Linked DNA regions of Canis lupus familiaris. The protein of the gene in region 3 binds, or shares a complex with, the protein of the main gene of each other region. Links are inferred from orthologs where the notes say so. Each region holds a gene or a part of one and is shown on either strand. Other genes may lie near its edges. The genes, in order: VPS51, VPS52 and VPS54.

What was found.
Region 1: VPS54 (region 3) and VPS51 share a complex: the UniProt entries of both Homo sapiens proteins name them as parts of the golgi-associated retrograde protein (GARP) complex. The link is inferred for Canis lupus familiaris from reciprocal best matches to the Homo sapiens genes VPS54 and VPS51.
Region 2: VPS54 (region 3) and VPS52 share a complex: the UniProt entries of both Homo sapiens proteins name them as parts of the golgi-associated retrograde protein (GARP) complex. The link is inferred for Canis lupus familiaris from reciprocal best matches to the Homo sapiens genes VPS54 and VPS52.

Annotation. Positions count from the first base shown.
Region 1 is NC_049239.1:52,607,705-52,615,755, forward strand, and holds the start of VPS51 (vacuolar protein sorting-associated protein 51 homolog), read right to left. Parts: upstream 4,141-8,051; 5' UTR 4,053-4,140; coding exon 3,828-4,052; intron 3,331-3,827; coding exon 3,201-3,330; intron 1-3,200. UniProt on the Homo sapiens protein: Acts as a component of the GARP complex that is involved in retrograde transport from early and late endosomes to the trans-Golgi network (TGN).
Region 2 is NC_049233.1:2,859,939-2,867,500, reverse strand, and holds part of VPS52 (vacuolar protein sorting-associated protein 52 homolog), read left to right. Parts: intron 1-798; coding exon 799-883; intron 884-1,017; coding exon 1,018-1,070; intron 1,071-1,253; coding exon 1,254-1,329; intron 1,330-1,519; coding exon 1,520-1,587; intron 1,588-1,886; coding exon 1,887-2,062; intron 2,063-2,455; coding exon 2,456-2,606; intron 2,607-2,903; coding exon 2,904-3,004; intron 3,005-3,116; coding exon 3,117-3,249; intron 3,250-3,387; coding exon 3,388-3,445; intron 3,446-3,804; coding exon 3,805-3,938; intron 3,939-4,403; coding exon 4,404-4,559; intron 4,560-5,024; coding exon 5,025-5,143; intron 5,144-5,536; coding exon 5,537-5,660; intron 5,661-5,952; coding exon 5,953-6,048; intron 6,049-6,163; coding exon 6,164-6,271; intron 6,272-6,489; coding exon 6,490-6,555; intron 6,556-7,562. UniProt on the Homo sapiens protein: Acts as a component of the GARP complex that is involved in retrograde transport from early and late endosomes to the trans-Golgi network (TGN).
Region 3 is NC_049231.1:64,962,497-64,970,567, forward strand, and holds the start of VPS54 (vacuolar protein sorting-associated protein 54), read right to left. Parts: upstream 4,209-8,071; 5' UTR 4,105-4,208; intron 1-4,104. UniProt on the Homo sapiens protein: Acts as a component of the GARP complex that is involved in retrograde transport from early and late endosomes to the trans-Golgi network (TGN).

The DNA.
Region 1 (8,051 bases), on a different chromosome or scaffold from region 3:
TTTACAAGAAACACAGAGAGAGAGAGAGAGAGAGAGAGAGAGAGGCAGAGGCACAGGCAGAGGGAAAAGGAGGCTCCACGCAGGGAGCCCGACATGGGACTCAATCCCAGGTCCCCAGGATCAGGCTCTGGACCGAAGCCGATGCCATACCACTGAGCCACCTGGGCTGCCCTGGTAAGAAGATTTTCAAATACACTTGCTCCACTATTTCTGCTGACATCATTTTGGATGTCACACCTGTTTATGTAAATGAGCTTCACTGGAGCACAGCCATCTGCATTCATTCACCTACTGCCCATAGTGGCTTTCAGGTTATCACAGCAGAGACAAGTACAGAAACCAAGGGGCCTGCAAAGCCTAAAATATGTACTTTACTCAGAAAAGCTTGCGACCCTTCGTGTATATATCCTATGCAGTCAGGTCCTGCTCCCTTCATCACGTCACTCTTGCTCTTGTCACAGCATTTTCAGGGTCTTTGCACAGGATGTTTCCTCAGCCTGAGCTGCTCTGCCTCCAAATCCTCACATGGTCAGCTCTTTATCATTTACCTTCACTGTCACTGCCTCACAAACCCCTTTCTCTGCCACCCTTTTTAAACTACCCCTAACCACCCACTTTCTCTATATTATCCTGTTTCATTTTCTCTGGAGTTCTTGTTGAGTGAAATGATCTATATTTATCATCCGTCTCTTTCTCTAGAACATATGTTCTGTGATGGCTAAGAAGCTTTCTTAGTCCATGCCGCTGGCATCTTGCCTAGACTGCTGCAACAGCCACCTAATGGGTGTCCTGGCTGCCACCCTTGCCTCCCTATAGTCCATTCCCCACAGAGTGGACTGAAAGGTCCTTTTAAAACAAGTCAGGTCACTTCATTCTTCTCATTTCCACTCACTCAGAGTAAAGAGCAGGATCCTTGTAACCACTTATAAGTCCCTACAAAATCTGGAATCCACTAGCCCTCTACCCTATCACCTACCACTCTCCTCCTTCCTCCCTCGCTCCCCCTAAACCCCATGCTGCACTCTGAATATGCCCACATGCCCTCTCTTCAGAGCCTCTGCCCCTGCTGTTTGCTCCCCTACCCATGGCTAGTTCTTTCTCATGAAAGCCCTGCTCAAATGTCACCACATCAGAGGGGCCTTCTCGTACTTACCCTAGCTAAAGGTAGACCCACACGCACATTACTCTTTTATCCTTATTCTATTTTCTTTTTCTGGCACTTACTACCACCTTTATTTATGTGTTCATTTATTGTCTGTCTCCTCAAATAGAATGCAGGCTGCAGGAAGGAGCTTGATCTAGCTGGTTTATTACTATATCCCCAAAATGCAGAACAGGTCTTGGCAAAAAAAAAAAAAAAAAAAGGCATTCAATGAATACTTCTTGAATGGATATAAGACTTTACCGTGTTATAGATTTAGAACCCCGATTCCAACACTCATTTTATAATTTTCTCCCTTTCTTAGAAAAAAGATAAGTCATCCTTTATTAAATAACAGTTAAATGTCAAAATTATACAAATTCTAACAAATGGAAAATGTAATGTTTGCAAAGTTCTTGTAAGAAATTTTGTAGCTCAGAAATTATCATGATTTCTTTTTTTTAAAAGACTTATTAAATTATTTTAGAGAAAGAGTATGAGGGTATGGGCAAAGGGAGAGAGAGGCAGAGAAAAGCAAACTCCCCCTGAGCATGGAGCCCCAACACCCGGCTCAATCTCCATCTCATGACCCTGAGATCATGACCTGAACGGAAATCAAGAGATGGACTCTTAACTGAATGAGCCACCCAGACGCCCCTAGGAATTATGATTTCTTGCTGGTTGATGCTGGTATTAGCAAATAAAGAGGTGCCTACTCACTGAACCTGTTTCAAATCAGATAAAAGGACAATGGCTACACCCAACCTTGTGACACTAGTAGAGTAAGAGATGTCAGAATGAGCCTCACAAAGGTTCACCCAACATTCTCATGGACCACCAGTAGACATTCGAGATCTGCCTCTAGAACTATGTACACACGAGTCCAAAATTATCACAAAAAAGTCTGAGTAGTGCATTTCACCAACATAAGACAGTAGTTAGTGTGAATGATAGCTGAACCCTGTCTAGCACTGTCCTGGACAGAGAATAAAGGAGGCAGGAGGAGAAGGAAAAAAAAAAACCCTTTTCATGATCTCTGTGTCCCTTAATGTCATATATTGTGTCTCTTTGCTTAATTTTTTTTTAAGATTTTATTTATTTATTCATGATAGACATAGAGACAGAGAGAGAGAGACAGAGACACAGGCAGAGGGAGAAGCAGGCTCCATGCCAGGAGTCTGACGCGGGACTCGATCCCAGGACTCCCAGATGACGCCTTAGGCCAAAGGCAGGCGCTAAACCACTGAGCCACCCAAGGATCCCCCTCTTTGCTTAATTTAAAAGGGGGAAAGGGATAGAGGAAGGAAAGGAGCGAGAGAGAGAAAGAGACAGAGACAAGCCCACCCTCAAGATAGACCTGGGCAAGAGAAGAAAGCTACCACTAATCAGAGAAACTAACCCTTACTGAGACATCGATAGTGTCAGGGATTCTAAGTGGTTCAGATAAACCCATTTCAGTTTAAGGTTTCATTTTGTTGGGATGCCTGGGTGGCTCAGTGATTGAGTGTCTGCCTTCAGCTCAGGTTGTGATCCTGGGGTCCTGGGATCGAGTTCCACATAGGGCTCCCCCAGGGAACCTGCTTTTCCCTCTGCCTATGTCTCTGCCTCTGTGTGTCTCTCATGCATAAACAAATAAAACCTTTAAATTGTTTTCATTTTGTTTTTTTCTCCCCTTTGACCCTCAGAATAACCCTCTGAGAGCAGCTACCATCATTTGACCACAAAAGCTCTGAGAGGTGGGAGTGGATAAATGTCAGGGAGGGACTAGAATCTGGGTCTCGGGATCCCTGGGTGGCGCAGCGGTTTGGCGCCTGCCTTTGGCCCAGGGCGCGATCCTGGAGACCCCGGATCGAATCCCACATCGGGCTCCCGGTGCATGGAGCCTGCTTCTCCCTCTGCCTATGTCTCTCTGCCTCTCTCTCTTTCTCTCTCTGTGACTATCATAAATAAATAAAAATTTAAAAAAAAAAAAATAGAATCTGGGTCTCCTCCCCCGACTCCCCAACACAAGACCAACAGGCAGGCGGGACTGTGATGGGTGTGTCCCAGCGGGAATCACCTGTGGCTGAGATGAACTTGTTGTAGTTCTCATAGACCAGGGTCTGCATGTCGCTGTCCAGAGCCCGGATCTGTCGCACCATGTCTGTCTCACTGTCCATCAGCTGGGCCAGGGGGCATTCCCGACGCAGCTGGAGGAAATCCAAGTGGTAGTGCTCAGGGCAGGGGCATTCATGTCCCTCAGGCCTGCCCCTACCTGGTAGGCTTTGGGTGCAAGAAAGCTCTCATCCCACTCCTGGCAGAGATACTAGACAAAGAGCCTATCAGTGCCATAGGTCAGGAGTTACTAGATTCGACTCTATTTGGGGTTTGTCAGCCTTTGAAACGCTCAGATTCAGCCACCGCCCACCCCTAAGCCTGTCAACGCCTGGGCCACGCCCCACGCCCCACGCCCCACGCCCCGGCCTATCAGAACATCAGCCCAGGACATCAGCACCCCGCACCTGCTCCGGCCCGTCCAAATCTGCCCACGCCCCCTTAGACTCCAGCTCGGCCCCTGCTTCCTGCCCTAGGGTCATCTGGTTTTTACGAGCCCCTGCGTCCCTCACCCCCGCAGCAAAGTCGAAGGCATGATCTGGGGGGTGCGATGTGTCCGGGGCCTGGTTCTCCCCAACACACAAACACACACCTTGTCCAGGTACACTTCCGGGTCGAAGTGTGCCCCGTTGAGATCCGTCGGGTCCAGGGGGTCCGACCCTGCGGGGCGCCCCGCGCTCTCCCCCTCCGAGAGACCGTAGTAAATCTTCAGCATCCCGTGCGCCTTCCGCCGACGCTCCGGGGCCTCCGCCTCGGGCCCCTCCGGAGAGTCCCCAGTTCCAGACCCCGGGCCAGGTCCAGCGGCTGCAGCCGCCATCACTCCAACTGCAGCCCACGGGTGTGAGGCTGGGAAAGAACTGGGAGGAGGCACTTCCGGGAGCCATAAAGTTCTTGTTGAAACGAGGCAGTCCTTCAGCTAAAAGGTCCCCCTGCAACCCTGGGTCCTTCGAGACTAGCGTTCCCCCTACCTTTCCTCCCTGAGCGGAAGAGGTTCCGGGAGAGCCCTGGGTTCCCGCAGCCTCCCGAGCAGATTGAGAAGAACTCGTCTGGTGCTTCCCTCCCAGAAGGAAGGCGGGTCCTGGCTCCCAACCCCGCACCCCCGCAGGCAGGGGCCCCCGGAATATGTCCCCCATTCCTACTATACGGGTGCAGACTTCACAAGAGGCTGCGGGGGAGCTACGAGGTTAGATGCGCGCACAGTGCGGGCGGGGCCTCTAGCAGTTTCCCCGCCCGTCCTCTGACACGGGTCAGAACTGCCTTCAGACCCTGGGCTCCCCCAGTCCTAGCCTCTTTAAGGGAAAAAAAAAAAAAAAAAGTCCCCAAGCACTTTAAGATACTTGCTTAGAAGACCGACTTGGCAGATCTTCAGCGACCCGTGGGATGTGCTGGGGGGGGGGGGGGTGAGGGGCTGGGTGCAGATGATGAGGGTTGTTCTCAGGTTTCCGATTTCAACAAAATGCAATTAATTGTTCACCAAGGCGCAGTGCTTAAGAGGACAGGTAATGAGGTTCAAGTATAGATACGATGAGTTTTAATAGAGAAAACGACTTTATCGACATGGTCCTTGAAACATTACTTGTGATGGGCTGGCGGCTGGGCGGGGCGGGGTGGGGGGTGTTGGAATGGAAACCACCGTGTTTAAAGATTCTTTGGCTGGGGTGCGGCAGGCCAAACACATCCCACCACGTGTTTTCATTTGGCCTGTGAGCTAAGACTGGTGTGTTTGGTTTTTTTGTTGTTGTTGTTTGTTTTCATTTTTAAATGGTTAAAAAATAAGAATGGCATTTCATGATGTGAAAATTATGTAAAATTCATATAATCAGAGTAGATCTTAAAAGTGCTCATCAGGAGAAAAAATAATTTGTAACATTAATAATTTGTATAGTGACAGATGTTAGACTTCCTTGTGATCATTTTGAAATATATACAAATACCAAATCATTACCTTGTACCCTTAAAAATATTGGAATATGTCTATCTCAATTTAAAAGATGATTTTCATAAAATCAAATGAAAATTATATGAAATATTCCAGTGTCTATAGTTTTATTTGAACACAGCCATGCACATTTGTTTACATATTATCTGTGCCTGCTTTTGCACTACAACAGAAGTGTTGAGTAGTTGCAACAGAGACCTTATGGCTGACACCTAAAACATTTACCATGAAGAATAGTTGGCTGACTGCTGAAATCTGTGTTGAAAGATTTCATCTATGTTAAGAAGGATGTTTAGAGGCTGTTTAAAAAATAGTGTCAGCTGATGATGCTATAATCTCAAAAAAAAAAATGAGTATAAAGATTTAGATCTACTCCAAGTCTATACACTTAAAAAAAAGTTGCAGAATAATGGTTAAGAAAAATTATTCAAAATTTGGAAATAAGACCAAGAGTGTAGGCCACTTGGGTGGCTCAGCGGTTGAACATCTGCCTTGAGCTCAGGTTGTGATCCTGGCCTCTGCCTGTGTCTCTGCCTCTTTCTGTGTTTCTCATGAATAAATAAAATCTTTAAGAAAAAACAAACAAAAAAACCCAAGAGTGTAGCATGTTCTGCTAATGCCACACTGGGGCTTGTTTTACAAGCCTATCCAATGATTATTTAATTACCCACAGGAATGAACATTTGATATTGCTATTTACCATTATGTGTTCAGATGCTGATATTACAAGTAGATATTGTCCAGGAGATATACAAAACATTTATATCCAGCAGAAAAAGTAACTTCAAAAGTTCTATTTATCGTCCTGTAGGATATCAAGCAGTTTTGTGTCTAACCTAGAATCATATTTTAACATTGCTCTTTATTTTTCTTTAAAGATTTTATTTACTTGAAAGTGAGAGACCGTGAAAGGGAGAGTGAGAGCACAGGAGAGGGAGAAGCAGACTCCCCGAACAAAGAGCCAATGCGGGGCTCAATCCCAGGAACCTGGGATCATGACCTGAGCCAAAGGTAGCCGCCTGACTGAGAGCCACATAGGCACACCAACATTCCTCTCTAAAGGAATGCTTATCAATATCCAAGTCCCCAAGATACATTATCACCTTACTGAGGGGGGACTCCTCACTGATAGGTTAATACATCTTAGTTACATGTTCATTCCAGACCTAGCATCATGTTAACTTTTTTTTTTTTTTTAAAGATTTTATTTATTTATTCATGAGAGACACAGAGAGAGAGAGAGGCAGAGACACAGGCAGAGGGAGAAGCAGGCTCCATGCAGGGAGCCCCACATGGGACTCGATCCCGGGTCCCCAGGATCACACCCTGGGGTGAAGGCGGCGCTAAACCACTGAGCCACCCAGGCTGCCCCTAACTTTTTGAAAGTTACACTTTGACAACACATATGGTGTGGTTCTCCATGATGCTTTTTAAAATTATACATGTATATATACAGGTAGGTATATGAGGTTTCAGTAAGAAGGGATCCAAAAGATGCCCACTCACTAAACTGTTGAGGGATACCTCTGTGAGGTAGGTAGGAGGCGGGCAGGTCATTGTCTTTTCCTCTGTATGCTTGTGTATTATGCAAATCTTTTACAAGAACATAGTCATGCACTACTTGGATAATTTTTAACTGGTTTTGAGCCAGAAGCCCTAATGTATAAAATTTCATTTGTATTTACATGAGAATGGAGATGGAAACAATGGGTTTTTTTTTGTTTTTTTTTTTGAAACAATGGTTTTAACATTTGGCCAACAAGTGGGCGTTGGGGGTCACTACTGTAATGTGTCAGGATGGGGGTCTAAGGGACTGTTGTGATTAATGACACTGGGCAGCAAGCATGGATGTAGCAGGAGACTTTGGGTCTTGGCTGGACCCTGAACCTAACTTCCGAGGCAGGCAGATAGGAAGGAGGTCCTGGAGGTGGCTAAGTTCAAGCTGTCCTTCTTCTACTCTAGTTCCTGGGAGTTTCCATGTCCCTCCATACCATTTCTGCCCATTTTTCTGGATGATACTGCTGAGGATCCTAGAGTTTTCACCTTTTCCACATACAAAGGAAACGTTTTCTTGTTGCTTATGAGTGTCCCTGCCCAATCACAGCCTTGGGTAGAACTGGATCTTTGTCTCAATACTCACTCCCTCAGGGGGATCCCTGGGTGGCTCAGCAGTTTAGAGCCTGCCTTTGGCCCAGAGTGTGATCCTGGAGACCGGGGATCAAGTCCCATACCGGGCTCCCTGCATGGAGCCTGCTTCTCCCTCTGCCTGTGTCTCTGCCTCGCTCATGAATAAAATAATCTTAAAAAAAAAAAAAAAAAAAAAAAAAAAAAAAACCTCACTCCCTCATTCAATGGCTCTTAGTGCCTGGGCTGACGCTCCTTCTCTGTACCTCAAACTTGTGTGCAATATAAGATTCATGCCACCAGCTTAGCCTGGGAACTCTTGGAAAGGACAGAGGTGATGGATGTGAAAGTCCTGAGTGCTTGAAGGTGACAGAGAGGGGAAAGCTGGTCAGCATCACGTCTTAGAACATGTGAGGGAGGATGGAAAAGCCAGTTGCTCTCTGGGCCATGCCTAGAGAGGGCATGGGGAAGGTCCCAGGACAGCTGTGGGCATGCTCTTATCTCCCTTTTAGGGAATGGAGCAAATATTTAGAGCTTACAATTCAGCACAGGCCTCCCTTGTACTGGGAATGCCCTCCAGCTACACATCCGGGCCTAGTCTCTTGCTGGCCTAAGATTTGCTGTGGATCTAGGATGTGCCCTACCACTTTTCTGAGCCCCGGCTCTGTAGAAGAAATATGCCCACAGTGCCTCCTCTGTGGAATTGTCAAGAGGACTCAGCGAGAAGATAATGCACAAGACCACAAAGTGTGC
Region 2 (7,562 bases), on a different chromosome or scaffold from region 3:
CGGGGGTCCTCGCGTCAGAAGGGCCTGGGCTGGGTTTAGGCAGAAGAGTGGGCGAGCGGCTGTTAACGGTGATGCTCCCTGTGTGTTTTTCCGTATCCGTCCTTGGAGTCGGGTCTGAGTCTGCCCTGGAGTCAGAATGGCCGACTCAGGTGCCAGTGGCAGAATTTCAGTTAACTTCCAGATCTGAGGGCAGAATACAGCGGCAGTATAGTGTAAAGGTTAAGAACGTGACTATGGTCAGATCGCCTGGGTTCTAATTCCAGCTTTGCCTCTTGCACGCTGTGTGTCGTTGGGCGGGTTAATCAGTTTCTCTGTGTTATACTTTCCCCACGTATAAGGTGAAGGAAATGATAAGACTTCACCGTAGAAATTGTTGGTTATGATTAGATGAATGAATGTATGAAAAATGGCACCTGGCCCGCAGGTAAACACTGTTAGCTGACATTTCTAGAAGGGCAGGTGATCCCCACAGGGATTGTGATAGAACACCTAAGATAGCAGGAGTCTGGGGATCCTACACTCAGCTGTAAGTTTAGCCCTGTCCTCTGCAACTCCTCCTTTACTCTTGTGGTGACTTTTGAGTCTTTTTGTTATATTCCCTACCTAGGAGCCCCAAATAGCAGATTGGGGACAGTGTGAGACTTTTGGAATTTTTTGACCCAGTGCCCATGGCTTCCCAATAAAAACCCAGCCCAGCCCCACCTTCCCCAAACCTTGAAGGTCTGTGGATTATCCCGTTATATTTGTTCTCTCTCTCTCTCTTACTGTGCCCTTTCCTGTTGACTTGTCCCTCTCCAGGGGGGTGGCCCTGGTCTTCAGGAGCCATTGCCACTTGGAGAATTGGACATCTCCTCTGATGAATTTATTCTGGATGAAGTGGATGGTAAGTGATGGCATGAGGTGGATGCAAACTGCTTGTGATCCAAGAGGTATGGTGCTGGAAGTAATAAGGTGGGGAATGGTGTACAGATGTTCGTTTGCGGGAGCTGGACCCTTATGATAAATTTCTATTTCCAGTTCACATTCAGGCAAATCTGGAGGATGAGTTAGTAAAGGAAGCTCTTAAAACGGTGAGGCTTTCTGCTGTACTGATTTATCCCTCCTCTTACCCTCCCCTCAAAGAGGAAAAAAAAGGACAGTCTCTCACTCTTACAACATCACCCTGGTGTCTCACCTTCTAGTCCTTTATTGATTCTTTCTAGGGTCTCTTCACTGCCACTTCCTCTTAACCTGTTGTGTTAATGTTCCCCTAGGGTGTGGATCTCCGTCACTATTCAAAGCAGGTTGAGCTGGAACTACAGCAGATTGAGCAGAAATCCATTCGAGATTGTATCCTCCAGTAGAGAAAAAGGGTGATGTTATTAAAATAGAGATTTTGCGGAGCATGGTGCATGCAGCCCAGCAGGGGCTGACATCTTCTCATGGCAGTTTCTGTCATCTCTGGGAAAAATGGGAATAGTCCCACAGGTCTGAGAATCTCCAGCTTTATGGTGAGGCCCCTTGACTTTTTGTGGATTAGATATCCAGGAGAGTGAGAACATAGCGTCTCTCCACAACCAGATCACAGCCTGCGATGCTGTTCTTGAGGTTAGTAACCATGACCTGTGATCCCTCTTAACCCTGAACCAGATCATGGTCTGGTGTTGTTCTTTAAGTCATCATCCTCAGGTGGGGATAGTTAGATTCACGTTCAGGATGACCTTAGCAGACCTTTTTGTTGCTACTGCCATAACTAATGTTATTTGCCAGTGACCTTTTGGGTACTTCTTACCTCATCACCTACCTTCGAGGACTGATACTGAAGACTTTACCAATAAACTTAGGTGGCCCATTTGTCCCTTGCCAACCCTTTGGTGCTCCAACAACATCTTCTGTCCTCCCCCCAGCGCATGGAGCAGATGTTGGGAGCTTTTCAGAGTGACCTCAGCTCTATTAGCTCTGAGATCCGGACACTGCAGGAACAGTCAGGAGCCATGAATATTCGGCTTCGAAACCGCCAGGCAGTTCGGGGAAAACTTGGGGAACTTGTCGATGGTCTGATAGTGCCCTCTGCTCTGATCATGTAAGTTGCCATTTTGAAGAGTTACAATGTCTATAGCAGGTAGATGGTCTAGGATGACCTACCACATGGGTCTCCTGGCCTCAGCTCTTCAAGCACCTTCCAGAAACTGATGGGTGGTTGACAACTCAACCTTGATGCATGCTTTAGGCATCAAAGATTAGGAATATCCAGAGTCAGGCATTTAGTTGGGAGGTTTAGTTGGGAGGTTTAAGGCTTTATGGACGTGGGATTGGGGGAGGTTCCAGGAACAGGAGACTTTGTACACGTATCCTGACTATGTGACTTAGCGTGTGAAGGGAGAGGTGACAGGCTGGATGTAAGGAATATAGTTTGGGACCTACTGATGTCTGGGTCTCCCTCCTATAACCCCTTCCACCTGTCCCTGCTACCCAGGGCAATTCTGGAGGCACCAGTGACAGAGCCTAGGTTCCTGGAGCAGCTGCAGGAACTGGATGCCAAGGCGGCTGCAGTCCGAGAGCAGGAGGCTAGAGGCACAGCGGCTTGTGCTGATGTCAGAGGCATACTTGACCGGCTACGGGTGAAGGTGAGGGGTGGGGATGATACCCCCAAGATTACTAGAACCAGCCTCCCTGACACCTTCAACCTGGGTTTCCCCAGCAGCGCTCACTGTAGCCCATCCCCAAGAATTTCACCCTGCCTTTACTGGCAGAGCTCATCTTCACATCTCTAGGTTCCCCTGAACACTTTCAGAAATACTGATGAGGTCTTCTCCAACCTCCATCCTCCTGTATTTGAAATGTGACCCTCCCCCCACCATTTCCATAACAGTCATAAGGTTGCAGCTTCATGCCCTGTGTTTGTTTCCTCCCCCCATGTCCAGGCGGTGACGAAGATCCGAGAGTTCATCCTTCAGAAGATTTATTCCTTCAGAAAACCAATGACCAACTATCAGATCCCCCAGACGGCCCTGCTCAAGTACAGGTCAGTGCCCAAAGGAAAGGCTCAGCATGGCCTCTGGGCCATCAGTCAGCCTGGTGAGGGGTCTGCTTTCTTGGGGAAGGTGGGGAGACTGACTTGTCCCTGGCCTCTCCAGGTTCTTCTACCAGTTTCTGCTGGGCAATGAACGGGCAACGGCAAAGGAAATCAGGGATGAGTATGTGGAAACGCTGAGCAAGATCTACCTGTCTTACTATCGCTCTTACCTAGGGCGGCTCATGAAAGTGCAGGTGAGGCCAAGGAGGGAGGCATGGCTAGGATTGGGGAAGAGGGGCCACCCCCAGGCAGGGCTGGACAGTGGGGAAAAATTGTTTTATCACAACAGGGGAGGAGATGCTTACTGGTTCCCTTTTCTCTTTTTTTCTTAGTATGAGGAAGTTGCCGAGAAGGATGATCTAATGGGTGTGGAAGACACAGCAAAGAAAGATATCCTAGAACTGAGGAACCCACGTAGTAGGCCTTGATAGTGACAGTGCCTCAAAGGCACTGCTTCTTGTCTTTTTCTCTGGGACCAAAACCTTTGAGAATGTGATAATGGCTATCCCCCTCCCCCCCTGCCGCCCGAAAAAGGCATGCATCCTTTTGACACATAGTTCTACATGTGATGGCAGGGAGGGTAGGAGCTCTCTGAAGCCCGTTCCCGGGTGTCAGATGAAGTGGGGCCAAGGTACTGGGAAGGAGGGACATCTAGGCTGTGTCTGGCTGCCTGCGGTCCCTGGAGGTAATGAGCCTCTGAGTCTGTCACCATTGTGATCTAGTTGTTTTCCCTGACTCTGATCCTTTACGATTCTTCTCAAAGCCTTCCCTCCGCAGCAGGAACACCATCTTCACCCTGGGGACCCGTGGCTCTGTCATCTCCCCCACTGAACTGGAGGCCCCCATCCTGGTGCCCCACACTGCCCAGCGGGGAGAACAGAGGGTAGGAGAAGGGATGAGAGTCAGTCATGAGGGTGTGCTGGGCATGGGTAGGAGAGGCCAGACCTCTGGGCAAAGCTTCCCGCCCTGCAGTCCCCTGTATCAATCCCCTTAGAACGGGGAATGACCTTCTTGGATCACCCAAGTGTTCTGTGATGTGAAGAGGGTTGAGACCGTTGACTTCAGGACATATATAGAGAGAGATTGGCTGAAGGGAACATCTTGGGGTAGGTTGTAGAGTTGGGTGGTGCAATAACAGCAGGTGGGGGTGGGTTCTTCTCTTGAGCCCCTCGTCCCTCTACCCCTTTCAGTACCCATTCAGGATGCTCCTTCACAGCCTGCACCTGGGTTAGATGGGAAAGACCTGAGCTCTCGTTACCCAGGCTTGCTGATTTTCCAGCAATATCTATGGAGAGTCAGCATTGGGGTCCATCCCTTCTGTCCCTCTTCTTCACCTCTCCCATCCTAGTATCCATTTGAGGCCCTCTTCCGCAGCCAGCACTACGCCCTCCTAGACAATTCTTGCCGTGAATATCTTTTCATCTGCGAATTCTTTGTTGTATCCGGCTCGGCTGCACATGATCTCTTCCATGCTGTCATGGGTCGCACCCTTGGCATGACCCTGGTAAGATCCCCAGCTCCTGTGCTCTTAGACCCCTTTGTCCTCAGTCCTCTGCAGCACTGTAGGGGGTCATAGCTCTGGTAGTACTGAAACCAGGCCCCCCCTAATTCTAAAATGTCTAAGCCTTGTACTCACAGAGCATATGAAACCCTCAAAGCTTGGGGTCCCTGAGGTACCCCTACTACTGACCCATAGCCAGGCAGTAGCATCTGAAAACGGAGGGGCCCCTGAAATGGTGCTCAGCCCTGAATTCTGCTGTGATGGGCTTGTGATCTTAAATCCTGATGGGCAAGGCAGCAGGACCACCTGAGGGGCTAGTGGACAGGGAAGGAGGAGGCATTTCCTGAGAGCTCCCTACCCTCCCTCCCAGGGCTGCATCCCCAGAGGAGTACATGCATTTGTCTGTAGCCACTAGGAATGACAGAATAACGAACGCTCTTTTCCAATTCTTCTATCCCTGAATCGTAGAAACACCTGGAGTCCTATCTCACGGACTGCTACGATGCCATTGCTGTTTTTCTCTGTATCCACATCGTCCTCCGGTTCCGTAACATTGCAGCGAAGAGGGATGTTCCTGCCCTGGACAGGTCACTGAGTTCTGGTCCTTGATGCCCCATTGCTCTTGAACCCTTGGCTTTACATGGTCCTGTTCTGACCATTGGGCTGCTGCTGACCAGACACCTGACTCTTACTCCCGTTCATCTGCCTGGGGACAGTACTGCTTTCTGCCTCACCATTCATACTAGTCCAACCTCCATCAGCCATCAGCTGGGTTCCCCCACAGAAACCCTACCTCCGTCCTCCCAGATTTCTTTTTGGCCTTTTAAATTTTTATTTTAATTCCAGTTAGTGAACATACAGTATCCTCTTAGTTTCAGGTGTATGATAATAGCGATTCAATATTTGCATGTATCACCTAGTGCTCATCACGACCCTCACATTTCTTGCCAGCTGATCTCTAATTCTGATTAAGTCTGCAGGTACTGGGAGCAAGTGCTTGCCTTGCTGTGGCCACGGTTTGAGCTGATCCTGGAGATGAATGTCCAGAGTGTCCGAAGCACTGACCCTCAGCGGCTAGGGGGGCTGGATACTCGGCCCCACTATGTGAGAGAGGGCAAGGGTAACAAAGGGGTTCCCAAAAGGCAGGGCTCTAGCTTCACTATGGGGGTTGGTCGGGTTCCCAGTTGTGTTGTGGGCCTGGCTGGATATTGGGGCACACTCTGTGTGTGGGGCAGTCTAGGAGTATGTGAATTCAGGGTGAATTTGGCATCATTTATTATAGTGATTGGGGGTGGGAGTCACAGAGGTTGATGGGCCAGCTCCTAGGGACTTGCAAGATTGCTTTGGTTGGGTCAGGGGGATGGTGTGATTTTATTACCACTTTTCTTTTCCCAAGATCACGCGCCGATATGCAGAGTTCTCGTCTGCTCTTGTCAGCATCAATCAGACAGTTCCCAATGAACGGACAATGCAGCTGCTAGGACAGCTACAGGTGAGGGTGGGCAGGAGAGACTTCCCAGTGGCTGGGCTGCCTCAGTGGCCTGCAGTGTGAGGAGCGCTGTGTGCCCTCACCTTCTCATGTCACCTCTTCCTTCTGGCTTTTCCAGGTGGAAGTGGAGAATTTTGTCCTCCGAGTGGCAGCTGAGTTCTCCTCAAGGAAGGAGCAACTTGTGTTTTTGATCAACAACTATGACATGATGCTGGGCGTGCTAATGGTACAGACACTATTTCTCTCTTCCTCCCTACCCAGAGGGTTTGGCCTCCCCCACTGCTCTGTTTGCTCTGTGAGGACAGAGCTTGGTCTTGTTCCGTAAGTTATTCTTGGCATCTGGCGCATTGCCTGGCCAAGTACAGTAAATGTGGAAGGAAGGGGATATCCTGAAGTCAAGGGCTGCTTCTCCCACACTTGAGATTTCCCTTTGTCTTCCCTTAGGAGCGGGCTGCAGATGACAGCAAAGAGGTTGAGAGTTTCCAGCAGCTGCTCAATGCTCGGACACAGGTAGGGGGGTGGGGAAGAAGAGAGGGAGAGTCTCATGTGCTATTTTCTCTTCTGTGTGTGTGTGTTTAGGGAGTGGCAGGTAAAGGGCTTCATGTACCCAGAATTGGAACTACTGGTTTCCTTTCCTTTTGTGTTTTTTTTTAACGATACACATACCCCTGAAGCCTTCACCTACCTTGACGATAACCAGCATTAAACAATGAATTCTTCCTCAGCCCATTTCCTTGCCCATCACACTTTTAAGTCTTTTCTTGACCTAAGTATTGTGTTTACCATGCTCTTGCTTTCAAAAATATAGCTGTAAGTATGGCAACTAATTAACTTAGTTGTACTTATTTATTTCTAACGTTTTTATTTTTTATTTATTTTCTTTTTTTAAGTAGTCTCCATGCCCAACATGGGGCTCAAACTCATGACCCCGCGATCCAGAATTGTGGGCTCTATCTGCTGAGCCAGCCAGGTACCTCCCCACCTGTATTATATTTTTATTTTTATTTTTATTCTTGAGTGACATAAAAGCAATCACAGGATTTTTTTCATGCATAATTTTTCCAACATTATCATATTATGACATATGGCTACAGCTTTTTCTTTTTTACTTTATATAATTTTATATTGTGTGAATGTAACGTTTTTTCCTGCAAGTGGACCTTGGGATTATTTCTAGTTTTTTGCAACTGTGAGAGTTGTTTTATGAACAGTTATGTTTTTTAGTGCATGTAGATGGAGAGAAGTTTTATAAAAGTTTCTCTTGGAAGTAGGACTTGGCTTGTTGCTTGTAGGGTTTGCCAGCATTCAACCTTATGAGACAGTGCCATATAGTTTTCCTAAGTGGTATACTAGTTTTTTCTTTACTGGCAATGTGTAAGAATTCTCATTGAGCTATATTTTCTACAACACATGGTATTACCAAACTATCTTTGCCATTCTGGTATAGGTATCTCCTTAGGGGTCTTTATATGCATTTTTCTGATTACTATTGAAATTGAGCATCATTTCAAATGTTA
Region 3 (8,071 bases):
AAACGGGTAACCCTTTCTCGTTAACTTATATTTGCCCAAAAAAAAAAAAAAAAAAAAAAAAAAAAAAAAAAAACTTATATTTGCCCATATTATACCGTATTTACAGTGATACTTTCAGGTGCTACTGAAAGAAGTCAATTTGCTCTTATAGGGAAGAATTTGAAATTTTGGTGATAATACTGGTTCTTTTACTAGTTTGTTACCAATATATTTTTAGAATTTCTCTCTTCTTTCTAGAGATACTATCTGCAGTCACTGTTCTCTGCCTTGCTGTCTATATTCCTAACTTTGGTACCCTCTATATCCTATTCTAATTTGATTCTTCTGAAACAAGTAACTTTTTAAAATTTAGGTATAATTGACAAATAACATATTATATTAGTTCCAGGTGTAGGAACTAATTCTTACACGGTGTTTTATAGTTGACGTAGCACCTAAACACACCTTACCTTACTTAATTTTCACAATCACATTATAATACAGGAATTATCACTATTCCTATTTCATAGATGAGAGTCTAATCAAGGCTCAGAAAGACTGAGAATAATAAATTTATCTAAGTAATAAGGCAGGTAAGTAGCAAAAGTGACCCCCAACTGTCAGTCTTTTTTTCTTTCATCACTAAACTAAGCTTGTTAAAAACAAATTAAATGAAAAATAAAACCAAACTAAATGAGTCAAAATTGGGGCCTACAAGAATGAGAAAAAAAAGTTGCAATTCATATATGAGCTCCGAATCTTGTTGGACATTCACAATGTACATTAGTAATTCATAAAAAATTAGTTTACTACTTCTCTCTTTTGGCATTTGAAGCTACCAGAAAAACAAAACCAAAAACCTTCTATATAAAAAAAAAATACTACTATATCTACTGCAATTTCAAAAACCTTTGCACCAGTAACTCACAATTCAAAACACAAAAGTAGTTCAAATCTGCAGTAAAAGAAGGCTTTTGCATTTTCAGGGAAAAAAATTTTTTCTTCAGAATTTGAGATACCTAAACAGACTAAAGAATATCTGCATTGTGCATAATTAGATTGCTTTCTACTTCTCCCTTTACCGCCTTCCACTTTATTCCACTTCAAAGAGTGAGTCGTTGGAGGACTTAAAGGGTTAATCTAATGTACTAAACAGTACTCAGTGAGACCTATTTTCCCACCTGGTGGGAGATGAGAACACTAGTTCAGGCACTTACTGGAATAATGCAAACCACAGGTTTAAAGCAATACTACCACCATTTGGGTGGATACTTCTTTGTTGAATGGGGAGGGTGGGATGACATAGGATATATCTGGTGCATTGTGAAGTTTGGCAACATTCCTGCCTAGATGACAATGGCACCCCACCTTCAGTTGTGACATTGAAAAAAGAAAAACGTTTCTAGACACCGCCAAATGTCTCTTGGAGGGCAAATTCGCCCTGTATGAGAACCATTAGTTTGGATGTTAGGGCCGTGGGTCTTTGGAAAAGGAGGCCTACAACCAACCTTGTTAATCTTAGTTTTTTTTTTTTTTTTAATTAATTTTGTTTTTAAAATTTGAATTTTTAAAAACAGAACAATAACAGTACAAGGAGACACCTAAATAATATACAGTATATGCCATCCTTCTTTAAGTTAAAGCATTTTTAGAGAATTTTGTTAAGATGGATTTCATCTATGTGGATACATTAGTCTCCCCACAATCCTCCATCCCCAAATGGGGAAATGTCCAGTTCTTCTCCAACGCTGCTAGTAAAATGTCAAACATATGCACACATAAGAGAACCTAACAATTCTAACTAGCAAATCCCCATGTCTTGCCTTACTTGGCCACACTGTGGGTCTTAAGCCACAATCCTAGAGATTCAGGCTTCCACTCCAGATTTCTTCATATGGTTCCTGCCATCTATTCGTGAAGCAAGCAGGAAGTAAGCTGATGACCTTTAAGGTTTTTTTCTAATCCTGATATCCTAATATTCAATGGCAAAAATAGTCCAACTTCTACTTGACTCCCAGCTAATCAGACTACCTCTTGAGATCACTGAAATCATTCATGCTAACTTTTTTCTTTCTCCATACTTTATGCTGAATATAACCAAATAATCAGTTGTTTAGAACATGGATTATTAACACCAGTGATCAGCTGCTTATTCTGACTCAAAATATTTTAAACATGTAAGTTGATTTTAAAAGAAACGCCTCAAAAAGCTATGAGCTGATATCATCATGAATAAATCACAATAAGCAAATATTAAGATGGAAAATACATTAGTGGTTGCTAGGACAGAGGTCAGGTGGGGAGATGAAGGGAGTTCTGTTAATGAATAGGTTTCTTTTTCGGGTAAAATTAGGTTAGGATGATGGTTTCACAACTCTGTGAATATCCTAGAAATCATTTAATTTTACATTTTAAGTGAGTGTGCTTCAAAGTTGTTTGTAAAAAGCTAAAGCAGGAAAAAATTGCACTCAACTTCCATTGATAGGAAAAGGAATGTGATTAAGAACAAATTCTGCAAACTTTGCCGTTTCATGAGTTATGTAAGATCTGATTATAATTCTGACATAAAAACTGGATAAATTTTAACTTTTCCGGAAAGCATACAAAAATTTAATCATCTTTTCCCAGTAAACTTTGGATAATCGAAAAACAACAAAGAACACTGCAGAAAGCCAAATGCTAGAGGAACAACACCTCTACAACAGCAAAATACAGGAGTATAGTCAACAAAATATGGAAAGTCTTTATAGTTCTATGATGCATTCTTTACAAAGAAAACCCTTACAACATTTTTCACTCCCTTTGAAAAAAACAATCCTCAGACTGTATAATGTCTGTCCTGGGAAAGAACTCTGAAGTTATCAGCAAAATTTAAAAACAGCCGAGATCACAGTAAAACTGCAAACATCTAACCCCCCAGATCACAACTATCAATCACCCAAAACCTGCATCTATTGGTCATTTTTACCAAAACCTATCATCAGCAATGATGACCACTAGGAACCACCAAGTAATACCCATTTCTAGGAAATAAGGCTCTGAGATACAGTCAAATCCCATCATTCGTCTGTTCCACCACAACTGCTTAGAAATCAAGGCTCCCTAAGTACTTTTTCCAATCAGAACTCTCCACCAGATTTATAAAAGTCCACCTGAACGTCTATCAAAGTCTGCAGTTCAAGTTACCACCAAAACGCGTTTCTCAGCACGCTGTATCAGGATATCATCTGCCTTGTAAGCATTTACTATCAAGACTGCCCTGGGGTTTGAGAAATCAAACACAGAGGCAATTAAAAACAACACGAAACAAAAAAAAAAGGGGGGGGGGAACCACACAATTTAATTCTTCGAAAGTAAGGAGAGCCTCACTCAATAAAGGCCTAAATAAACAAATAAATAAAGCTGGTTAAAAGTGAATTGAAACAAAACTTGCAACCCCGGGGCCCGTCAAAATTCTAAAAATAACCACCCTGCGCGCTACACACGGGCCGAGCAAGTGGTTTATTGTAATAATGGGCCCCCGAAAGTTCTCCCGTCCACGACGGGAGCAGGCAGGGGAGGAGGCCTGCTTTTTGTACCGATGCCCAGATGGAAAGAAGCAGAACTGAAGAAAATCAATTACTGAACAAATGATGGCGAACTGATGGCCAAACTGCAGAAACACCGAGTTATGGGGGGGGGGGGGGGGAGGTTCGCCTTGCTTTTCTTCCTTAGAAAAACGATTTAAAAAAAAAAATTTTTTTTTTACATGTAAATTATTCCAGCAGCCTCCAAAGGGGGGGTTAAGCAAGGGCCGGGCTGGAACAAGAAAGGGAAAGTTTGGGGGCGGCGGAAGTTCCAGCCCGGATCCCAGAGAGGGGCGCGGGGGGGGGGGGGATCGCGGCGATGTCGGCCGCCGACCGCCCGACCTGAGGGGGGGAGCACGGCCGCCCGGCCCGAGCCCAGAGCGGCGGCGAGGAGGAGGAGGAGGAAGGGGGGGAGCGAGGGCGGAATGGAAGCTCCGGCGCCCGTCAGTTGCGACCGAAACTCTTTCGGCCGCGGCCGGGGGGACGAGGGGGTGGGGTCTCGGGCCGTCCCCCCGCGGGAGCCGGGGCGGGGGGCGCCGCGCGGGGGGCCGCCACCTACCTGCGGGGCCCGGGCAGCCGCCCCAGAGCGCGGCCTAGCGCATCGCCGCCGCCTCCAGCCCTCCGCTCGCGCCGAGGCTGCTCCGCGGCCGCCGCCGCCCGGAGCCCCGCCGGGCCCGAGCCCGAGCCCGGCCTCCCGCCCCCGCCCCGCGCCGCGCCGCGCCGGCGGGCCCGTCAGCCGGGGGAGCACAGGGCCGCGCCCCCGAGCGCTGCTCCGTCGCGGGTGAGAGGCGGCCGCGGCGGCTCCCTCACGTCTCTCCCGGGTGTCCTGTCAGCCAGCAGTTTCCCCCGGGTCCGCAGCGCCGCCTCCGCCGCTGCCGCCACCGCCTCTCCCACATCCCCGGCCTCCGGAGGAGCCGCCGCCGCGCCGCGACCACCGCCCCCGGCGCGCCCGCCGCCTGCTCCGCCGCTCGCCCTCGGCCCGCGGCCCCCTCGGCCCGGCCGGGTCCCGGACAGCGCGCCGGAGGCCGCCGGAGGCCGCCGCAGCCCCCGGCCCACAATCCACCGCGCAGGCGCCTCCGCCGGGGCGGGAGGGCCGCGGCCCGGGCCGGGGCGGGGGGGGGGCGCGGGGGCGGGCGCGGGGCTCCCGGGAGCGGGAAGCGCCGGCGCCGGCCCGCGGAGCCCTCCACGCACACACGGACGCCCGCGCCCGGCCCCGCGCTGCCCCGCGGCCCTTCCCCCGCCCGCCTTCCCGCGGGAGCAGCCCCGGGGCCGGCCGCCCCCCAGCCCAGCCGACTCCCGCCGCCCCGAACGCCTCCCGGGACCTCGTCCAGCAGACACTTTCCCAACCTCCCACCTCGCCTTTCAAGGCCGACGCTGTTTATAGAGTTTCCCAAATAAAGGTCCTTTGGAAGGTCAAAGGTCACCCTCTCCCCCCAACACCCCCCCCACCACCACCCGGACTCGGAAAACCGTGCACTGTGCCCTCGCAGGGACGCCCTCCCCCGCCCGCCGGGTCCTGCTTTAAGTTTCGCCCTGGTCGCAGGCCTCCCCGCGCAGCCACCCATCGTCACCCTACGCGGGCACCCAGACCGGTTACTTCTGCTCTGGGACTGAGATCCCGAGATACCTTCTGGCTGTGATTGTGAACAGTGATACCACTCAGCCTGGCGTCCGAGGGCTTGCAATTCTAACCCAGCAAAAGAGCAACCTGCACGAGAGGACATGTGTCTCAGAATATATATATATGTGTGTGTGTGTGTGTGTGTGTGTGTGTATATATATATATATATATATATTTTTTTTTTTTTTTTTTTTTTTTTTAGAAGAGAAAAAGGGGGCCTCAACCATGGGCGGCTTCTGTCTTCGCTTCAGGAGGACTTCTGAACATTTTGCAACTACTCCTTGCCTTAAAATATCTGCCAAAGTTGCAGGCCTTTGTTTTTGTTGGTGGTGGTGGTGGGTTTTTTTTTTTTTTTTTTTTTCTCAGTTGCAGGTGTTTATAAGCCAACCTGTTTTATCAAAAGTGAAAATGTAGCGCTTAACAACTGGGGATTTAAAAAAAAAAAAAAAAAAGGTTGGTGCAAATTTCACTTCCAAGAAGTCACTTTGAAAACTGCAAACACAACTTTGTGAAGTATTTTACCCACTAAGGAGCTAAAGCTGGGGGAAGGGAGGACATAGGCGAAGAATGTGACAGAAATAGCTGAGAGGAAATTCTTATGTTTTCCTGAATTCAACTCATTCTCTACAATTTTGTAATGAGAGGAAAATATCAACCCCCTCCCATATGAAATAAATTTAACTATAATAAAGAAATCCCTCTGAATCCCTGATCTCATATAAAACCAGATGAGTTTTTATTATGAAAATATTAAGGAAAGCCTCTCCAAATTTCAACCGAGGCCAGAGAAGAAAATGATTTCAATTTAAGTCTAGAATCAATTTTTAGATTATACTAAGAAATGGATTTAGCAATTTCCCATATTTTGAATCTGTATCAGGAAGTCAACAGTAGTCTGAAAGTTGCCAAAGTCTGCAGTTTGGCCTTTAAAAAGCTTATTTGTGTTTATACCTCACCTTGTTTCAAAAAAAGATTCCAGGTTGTTCTAGTTGGCACTTGAATTAAATAATTATCGTGAGGTATCTCCCAGACAAGACAGACTGGTTTGCTTTCCTCATTATCCATCCGTAGATAGCATGCCATAGGAAGAAAATACACAGTGAGTATTTTGCTTAATTCTTTCAGGGATATAACAAGGTATTTACTTTTAGTTTGCCACAGAACAATTCATAATCGTAAATGTAAACAAAGAAGTAAATGCTGATGTTAAAGTTTGTCAAAAAAAAAAAAAAACCTGTTAATTGGACAAGTAATTTAATTTAAAGTTAGATGAAGGGGATCCCTGGGTGGCTCAGTAGTTTAGCACCTGCCTTGGGCCCAGGGTGTGATCCTGGAGTCCTGGGATCCAGTCCCGGGATTGAGTCCCACATCGGAGTCTGCTTCCTTCTCTCTCTCTCTCTCATTCTCTCTGTCTCTCATGAATAAATAAAATCTTTTAAAAAATAAAATAAAGTTAGATGAATTTCCATTTAATTAATATGTTCATTTGTCATCTCTTGAATTGCTTCATTAGAAATGATTTATTTCATTGAGTCAATCATTAGAAAAGCCAAACCACAAATAAATGTGTAGAGATGCATTATTAGTATTCATTTCCAGAAAACACAGATGACAGAAAATTAAGATAAACTGATAGAAATCATGATTGCCCTCAATAAAAGCAAATATGAAGGTTTTTAGCTATCCTATTACTAACACTATATTTGGCATAGTATTTATAAAACCTATTAAGAATTATGAATGGTTATGGTCATTAGGGTGACATATTCTCATTAAAGGAAGAATGGGCAAATTTTCTAATGCTGTAACACCTCTAAAAGGTCTGTGCTCATATTTACTGTATGTTCGGTGCATATGTGTGGGTGGCAGTAGTGAGGTTAACGTGTCTATTTGATCAGTAAACACCATTTTTAATGACTCGTTTGACAGAAACTATACATTCACATGCCAATATATAAATACAGAAGGGAAAGGGGCCACTGGTAGAAGGAACAATCAGAAAAATCATTTTGTAGTTTAGTTAGACGTAAGCACTAGCTTTTCTTTATTCCCACAATAACACACCTTAAATCTATCAAGTAGAAACCCACTCAAGTCCTCTAAACCTACTCTATAGTTAATTATGTATAATTACATCATGTGTTTAGCATAAATTATCCTTGATAAGCAAAATATACATACATTCATGAACTGAAAGTATGCTGATAGTCTTATCACAGTTTCATTTTTTGGTCCAGTGCCCTGAATTATCTTATCCATCATATTTAAGCTATCTTAAAATGTTACAATGTTATAAAATCACACTTGATAGCAATAGTATTGGAACCTGAAACTATGTTTTACTATGTCTATAGTAGTCCCTATGTCTAAGGACTATCTTAATGTAGGAAACTTTCTAACTTACACTGAGTATGATGTAAGACATTAAAACTCTATGTGGATCTAAGCACCACTAGATATTTTACATTTCATGTGGTAATAATACACTCAATAATTTTGGGGAGTTAATATAAAAGTTTTTGACATACCATCATCTGTATCTCCTAAATCCATTGCTTGATTACACTGAAAACAATTATTTAACTCTGTTACATTTCTCTTTGACTCTGATACTCCAAATTTCTGGTTGATTGTCATAATAATATCAACTACCATTTACTGAGAATTTACTGAGCTCCAAGCATAGGGAAAACCAAGGCAGCATGGTGTGTTGGTTTTCTATTGCTGTGTTAAAATTAGCAAAACGTAGCATTTTAAAATAACACATATTTATTATGTTACATTTTCTGTGAGTCAGGAGTCTACACAGAGTGTAGCTTGGCCTTCTACTCAGGATCTCATATGTCTTCGATCAAAGGATGTCAGTCTGTGTTTTCATCTGGAGGCTGGACTGGGGAGCAGTCTG